Oryctolagus cuniculus: one gene and its partner. The protein of the gene in region 2 interacts with the protein of the main gene of each other region in a pairwise test. Links are inferred from orthologs where the notes say so. Each region holds a gene or a part of one and is shown on either strand. Other genes may lie near its edges.

The links. The genes of interacting proteins can lie anywhere in the genome.
Region 1: the proteins of BAG6 (region 2) and RNF126 interact in binary tests that used the Homo sapiens proteins (3 or more experiments, as listed by UniProt). The link is inferred for Oryctolagus cuniculus from reciprocal best matches to the Homo sapiens genes BAG6 and RNF126.

The regions. Positions count from the first base shown.
Region 1 is NC_091447.1:58,384,730-58,387,464, forward strand, and holds part of RNF126 (E3 ubiquitin-protein ligase RNF126), read right to left. Parts: intron 1,167-2,735; coding exon 1,108-1,166; intron 867-1,107; coding exon 797-866; intron 248-796; coding exon 3-247; intron 1-2. UniProt on the Homo sapiens protein: E3 ubiquitin-protein ligase that mediates ubiquitination oF target proteins. Depending on the associated E2 ligase, mediates 'Lys-27'-, 'Lys-29'-, 'Lys-48'- and/or 'Lys-63'-linked polyubiquitination of substrates.
Region 2 is NC_091436.1:138,962,227-138,966,578, forward strand, and holds the start of BAG6 (large proline-rich protein BAG6), read left to right. Parts: upstream 1-1,481; 5' UTR 1,482-1,621; exon of another isoform or gene 1,622-1,797; intron 1,798-2,271; exon of another isoform or gene 2,272-2,275; 5' UTR 2,276-2,284; coding exon 2,285-2,392; intron 2,393-3,786; coding exon 3,787-3,904; intron 3,905-4,020; coding exon 4,021-4,217; intron 4,218-4,352. UniProt on the Homo sapiens protein: ATP-independent molecular chaperone preventing the aggregation of misfolded and hydrophobic patches-containing proteins.

The sequences.
Region 1 (2,735 bases), on a different chromosome or scaffold from region 2:
ACCCTTCCAGCGTGGGGACGCCTTCGTGCCGGCCGGTGGCCCGCCGTGCAGTGAGCCGGGCGCGGGGCTGCCGGGCGCCATACCGGTGCCGGGACTGGTGCTCTCGTTCCCGCCGGCTCTCGGGGTCCCTGCCGTCATCAGCCTGCGCCCCAGCGGGGAACGCGGGGATCTCAAAGCTGTCGTCAAAGATGCCGAAAGCAAACTGCCCGTAGCCCTGCGGCAGCGTGAACAGCTGCTGGTCGACGTTCTGGGGAGGAGAGGGACGCTGACCGGAGGCCGGGGGGAGGGAGAGGGACGGTGGCCGGAGGCCGGGGGAGGGAGAGGGACGGTGGCCGGAGGCCGGGGGAGGGAGAGGGACGGTGGCCGGAGGCCGGGCCTGGCGGCACCGTGGGCACATGGCAGGTGAAGCCGCCGCCTGCATGGCCGGCGCCCACGAGCGACTCCACTCCCACCCAGCTCCCTGCTGACGGCCCGGGGGGGGGGGCGGGGGGGGCAGCAGGGATGGCTCAAGTGCTTGGGGCCCCGCCACCCCCACGGGGGACCCAGCTGGAGGTCCAGGCTCCTGGCTGCGGCCTGGCCCAGCCCCGGCCACTGAGGCCACGTGTGGCGTGAGCCCGAGGGCGAAGCTTACGCCCTCGCCAGCTGCTCTGTCACTGCTGGCCGGGGCTCGGGGCGACGCCAGGGAGGTGACGCTGGCCTTGCTGCTGCCCCAGCAGGGTGGACCGCAGTGGGAGGGGGCGTGTGGAGGGCCCCCACCCCAGCGGGGACGGCCCTCAGGCCAGGGGCCCGCACCCACCTCGAACGGCTGCCGGCTCTGGCTCTGGTCGGTGGGGGCTGTGGACGGGGCAGAACTGTTCTCTGTGTTCCTGGGGAGACAGCGGTGTCAGCGCCGGTGTCTGTCGGGGGCCCCCCAGGGGTCACGCCCTGCCTGTGCCCCCACCTCTGGACCTGAGAGCCAGGGCCCCTGTGAGCCAGGGCGCGGACCCCACCCTGGCCTGGGCTGTGCCAGGCGGGAGCAGCTGCCCCTCCCGCTGTGAGCGCACGTGCGCGGGGCCCCTCCCCTGCACGGCCAGCGTGCCCACCCCCGGCCTCCACGGTCGAGGTCACCTGGTGTCTTCTGGAAGCTCCTCGATGAAGCCGGACTCGCATCTTGGGCAGGTGTAGTCCTGCAGAACAGGGGTCACTGAGGGGGACTGCCTCCTGGGCCCCTCCCAGACACCCCCACGGGGGTCTCCCAGAGCAGGGCGCTGCTCGGCGGGACCAGCGACGCCCAGGGCGGCCCTTCCAGAACACTGCAGAGCCCCGGTGCCCAGACCCCCGGACTGCAGTGGTCGACGCACCCCCCACAGCAGGCTGTGTGCCCTCGGCCACGGGGGGCGGAGCCGGGCGAGGGCGGCCCCCACGGGCAGCACGTGCAGGACTCAAACGGACGCGGCTCCCAGGACAGGGCCGGCACCGCGATCACGGGCTCCAGGAAGACGCCGACCACAACCGCGTCTCGCCCTGCAGCCAAGCCCACGAGTCTCCCGAGACGTGGCCGCCGGGCCGGCCCAGTGCCCCTCGCAGGTGAGCGGGCACACAGGGCGCGCGGCCCACGCAGCCACGGCATGCAGGGACCCGAGGACCCCACGCTCACGGAGATGCGGGCACAGAGGCCACAGCCTGAGCGACTCCACCAGCAGGACGCTCCCAGCGAATCCAGGGAGACAGGAAGTGGATGCGTGGGTGCCGGCTGGGGGAGGCAACCACAAATGGGTGTGAGGTTTCTTTTGGGGCGAGAATGTTCTGGGATTAGACTGCGGTTACGGTTACATAACTCTGGAGACCCTGAGCGCAGGGACTGTGCACCCAGCCTGCGACACGGGAACACGGCCCGGGACCCCGCTGTGCTGTGCGCAGGTGCGGCGACCAGGGCGGACGCCCCACCCGAGTCGTCCTGCTTCCGACGTCGGGGCCTGCGGAGCATGAGCTGTCTGCCACCCCGGCTCAGGGCGGGCACCCAGCACCCACGCTGCTCTGACTCAGTGCACCTGGACGGCTGCCCAGGTCCTGGCCACACCTCAGCCCGTGCTGGTGGCTGGCCCCGCCACGGACGGGGACGCAGCTCGGAGGCGACTGGCCCTTGCTGACCTGCGTCCACCCCTGGCGCAGCCCACAGCCCAGGTGTGCCCAGGCCCCCAGCCTCTCCCCCCACAGCTCAAGTGTACCCAGGCCCCCAGCCCCTCCCCCACACAGCCCAGGTGTGCCCAGGCCCCCAGCCTCTCCCCCCACAGCTCAAGTGTGCCCAGGCCCCCAGCCCCCCCCCCACAGCTCAAGTGTGCCCAGGCCCCCAGCCTCTCCCCCCACAGCTCAAGTGTGCCCAGGCCCCCAGCCCCCTCCCCACACAGCTCAAGTGTGCCCAGGCCCCCAGCCCCCTCCCCCACACAGCCCAGGTGTGCCCAGGCCCCCAGCCCCCCCCCACAGCTCAAGTGTGCCCAGGCCCCCAGCCCCCTCCCCCACACAGCTCAGGTGTGCCCAGGCCCCCAGCCCCTCCCCCACACAGCCCAGGTGTGCCCAGGCCCCCAGCCCCCCCCCACAGCTCAAGTGTGCCCAGGCCCCCAGCCCCCTCCCCCACACAGCTCAGGTGTGCCCAGGCCCCCAGCCCCTCCCCCACACAGCCCAGGTGTGCCCAGGCCCCCAGCCTCTCCCCCCACAGCTCAAGTGTGCCCAGGCCCCCAGCCTCTCCCCCCACAGCT
Region 2 (4,352 bases):
ACCTCTCTTCTATTTGGGATAATTTTATTTAATCATCAATCTCACAGGATTGAAATAATGCATATGAAGTCTTTAGCAAAGACCAGAAAATGGTTAAGTCCCAAGTTAAATATTCAGTATAACAGTAGTATCTGCAGACTACTTACTAGTTTCTGGTGGGTAATCTCTGAAACCATAGGCACTAAGGGAAGAATGGTGACGCTGTGGTCACTGGGTTGTGCTGAGGGAGGAACTGCTGCTGAATGACCAGGGCTCCATTGCCAAATTACTTACTACCCGCGGACTACGACAAAGATTTACTCTGGGACTTGAGGCTTGCTATGGACTTGTGATTTACTGTGTAAACAGATCACGGTTTAAAAAAAATCAAAGCTAAATCCGAGCGAAGGGTATATGAAAGTTCATTTTACTAGTCTATTTTGGGGGTAATGCTTTGAGATTTCTCAAGAAAAAGCTAAGATGTAACAATTTATTGGAGCAGTAACGTCGAACTGGGCCCGTGTTTGTCACTTCCACCACCTAGGTTTGTCTAGGCGTACTCACCTATAAAACAGATGTTAGTACCCATTTCCAAGGTCAAAACTTTAAAATATGTAAAACGCTTATTATACTGGCTGGCACACTGAGCAGGTGCTTATTTAAACTGAACCAGTCCTGGGATCTGGGTATAAACTACAAATCGCAGAAAGACGTGGGGGAAAGGGGGCGCAGAGAAGCGGTAGTCCCCCCACCGCACCCCTGCGGAAGCCCCTCGGTGGCCTTTCAATTCTCCAAGGTCAAGGTCTCCTCTTTCGGTCCAGTCGGGTTCCATCGCGACAATTCTCAAACTCGGAAAACACTTCTCTTGACAAAAGTCCTGAAAGACAGCGGCAGGCTTAGCCTTCCTACAACATGGCGTGACTCCCTGGCCGCTCACTGCCCATGACGAACAAACACTACGTTCAGTCCGCAAAACGCCCCAACCGGCACAAGCGAGCTCCGGCCCAACGACGCAACCGCACGGAGAAACATCTCGCGAGCCGCCCCCAACAGCCTACGGCAAAGGTGACTTCCGGAGGCGCCGGAGCAAAGGTGCCGTGAGGACGACCGCGAGACGCTAGGAGGCTTAGGTGCCTAGGACAATGCCGCCTAAAATTCTCCGCTTACCAGGATTTTAACATAGGTTAACGGGGCAAAATCTCCAGGCTCCAAACTCTAAGGTCTACACGAATAGTTCGTAGTCTCTCTTGAGGCAGTGGCAGTCTCATCGGGCAATTTTTTTCTTCAGGCATTTATAGTGGCCACCTCAACCCCCAATCGCTGAAGCGCGCGCACAGGGGAAGTAACCACCGCCAGAGGGGGTGGGTGGGCGGAGTTTAAATGTGCACGCATGCGTAATGAGACTTAACGCAGGCGCAGTACGGTCCCCGGGCGACGACGGCGGCGGCTCCTCGGGGTGCTCGGCTCCCTCCCATCTAGGCCGGCCCCTGCCCGTCTCGCCCCCAGCAACTCACTGTTTGGGGCTACGGACTTTCTAATCGTGCCCCACAAAAGTAACGCTTGGGGACCTGGGGGAGCCGGAAGTACCGCCTCGTGATTCCCCAGATACTATCGGGGAAACGGAAGTGACCGTCGGAGGCAGGTTGGGGGAGACCGGAAGTGACGGTACCGTGGGGAAGTCGGGGGCGGAGCCGAAGGGTGGTGGGGAGTGTATGTGTATGGTGTTTGGCTGTGGCTGTGTGTTGGTTGTGCTGCTCTCTTGGAACACCGAGGGAAGGCGGAAGTGGGGGGGCAGTCAGCTAGCCGGTCCAGCCCCCCGTGAGTGTCCGCCGTCCGGGTCTGTAGTGATTTAGGCGGGTTCGATGGGCGTGGCGCGCGTGCGCGAAACCACTTTCTCCGCGGAGTCTGGCGCGACTCCCACTCTCGGGTTGTCCCAGGGTTTGTCGACTTCTGGGACCCTTGTAGTGCCGTGACTGGTGATGACACGGGTCTCTGGTCCCATGCTTGCTTCTTTTCCCGTATCTTAAGCCGACTGACCCGCCCTCATTGTGATTGGCATTGTGGAGCTCCTCCTACCTCCTGTCCTTCGGTTCCCTGTGCCGTCGATCTGCCCTTTGTGTTTCTCTCTCGTTGCCCCGGAATCGGAAGGGGAATGGGGGCGGGTGTGAGTGTGTGTGCTTGTGCGGGAGAAACTTTTTAGGTATTGGGGCGGGGATTCAGCCCGGGGAGGCTTCCTGGATCTAAAATCGGCTCCGGGCGACAGTGGACCTTCCTCTCCCCCTTCTTTCTTAGAGAGGTGTCGGCCATGGAGCCCAGTGATAGTACCAGCACCACTATGGAGGAGCCTGACAGCCTGGAGGTGCTGGTGAAGACCTTGGACTCTCAGACTCGGACCTTTATTGTGGGGGCCCAGGTGAGACCCCGATACTTCTGGAAGACATCTGTGGGCCCTTTGTCCCGGGGGCCCATTAGACGGAGAAGAGCCTGATGTTCTAGTCCTTGAGTTTTCATTGATTTCTTTGTTCACTTTTTTAACTGTTGAGTGAGGCAGATTTTTGTTCTGCCTTCTTTCAACTTGGTGGAAGTCAGTGCAGAGAATAGGAAGGAGGAATCTGTACGCTGTCATCTTATGTGGCCTCCAGCCCAAGGGGACAGCCTTTGGGAATGGACGTGATACAGTGACCCCCAAACAAGTGTGTCTTCTATAAACAGAAATTGGTCACATGGGTGTATACTCTTTTTTTTCCTGTCTCCTCTTTCCCCTTCTCTTTCTTTCTAAAAAGAGACAGAGCTTCCATCTGTTGGTTTGCTTCCCAAATGCCTGCAGTGGCTGAGACTGGGCAGGAGCTGGAAGCCAGGAACACTATCTAGTTGGTTGATCCATCGATTTTGCCTCCCAGGGTCTGTGTTAGCAGGAAGCCGGAGCCAGGAGCCAGAGCTGGGTATTGACCAGCCACTCTGATATGGGATGTGAGCATCTTAATTGCTAGGCTGGGTGCTCACTGCCTATACTGTTTTTTAAGTATGCGCATAAGAATTCGTAATGAATAGAGCTTTTGTAGACAAGCGAGTGGAATTACTGTATTTGCAGCATACTTTGAAACTCTGTTTAATGCTGTGGACACAGCTGTCTGTGCCTTTACTCCTGAAATAGCTAGAGACAGAATTGTGAGCAGACTGATCTATAGTTTCATAAAATATCACATGTTATTAAGAAAATAATATGGGCCTTTGTGGTTAGATGTATGTAAACATTCTAGCATTTCATAAGAGTGAGTTTTCTAGGTAGGAAAAATGACTTTCTTTTTTTCTCTCCTTCCTTCCTTCTTTCCTTCCTTCATTCTTTTCTCTCTTTCTCTTTTTTTTTCTCTCTTTCTTCCCTTTCTTTTTGCTACCTTTTCTTCTTGGCTAGTCTTCCCTCACCTGATTCCCTAACCCATTCTCCTTGCCATTGTTTCTGTCTTTGAGATTACAGGGTTGTCCTGGTATCATTTTGTGTTTGGGAAGGGGTCACTGGTAGCACTGAGCGCACCTTCCCTTGGGAACCAGGCAAAGAAGGAGAGAGGGGGCTGGCAGTCGGCTTTCTTGTTTCTTATCCACATCTTCTCCTGGTCTGTGCCATGAGTGTCCTTGAGTTTACTGCTTCTGTTTTGAGTCAAGCTTTGCACGATAGTTACCTCACATAGGAGACAATTGGCTAGTGATTCTATATGAGTTCTACCTCTCACCTTCCCTAATGCATGGTCCCTCTTCTGTACCTCCTCTGTCCTTTATCTGACTCCTGTGTGTGTCCTTTCTTCCTTGCAGATGAGTGTGAAGGAGTTTAAAGAGCATATTGCTGCCTCTGTCAGCATCCCCTCTGAGAAACAGCGGCTCATCTATCAGGGGCGAGTTCTGCAAGATGACAAGAAGCTCCAGGAATACAGTAAGGGGGTGGGGAGGCACTGCAGAGGTAGAGGATAGTGTTCAGAGGGATGAGCTGAGGCCATGGGTTTACCTGATCATACAACTATTTTGATGTATGTCTTTTTCTTTCTGCAGATGTTGGGGGAAAGGTTATCCATTTGGTGGAACGGGCTCCTCCTCAGACTCAGCTCCCTTCTGGGGCATCTTCTGGGACAGGGTCTGCCTCAGCCACCCATGGTGGGGGACCCCTGCCTGGTACTCGGGGGCCTGGGGCCACAGTTCATGACCGGAATGCCAACAGCTATGTCATGGTTGGAACCTTCAATCTTCCTGTAAGCTTGTGTTTTGCATGGCAGAGTTTTTGTGGGGAAGGGTAGTTTGGTTGGTTGTGGTATCAACAGGAGGCCCATCAGATGCATGTGTCAGTCTTCAGCTTGGAGGGCTCTGTGGTTTAGTGTTGGATTTGG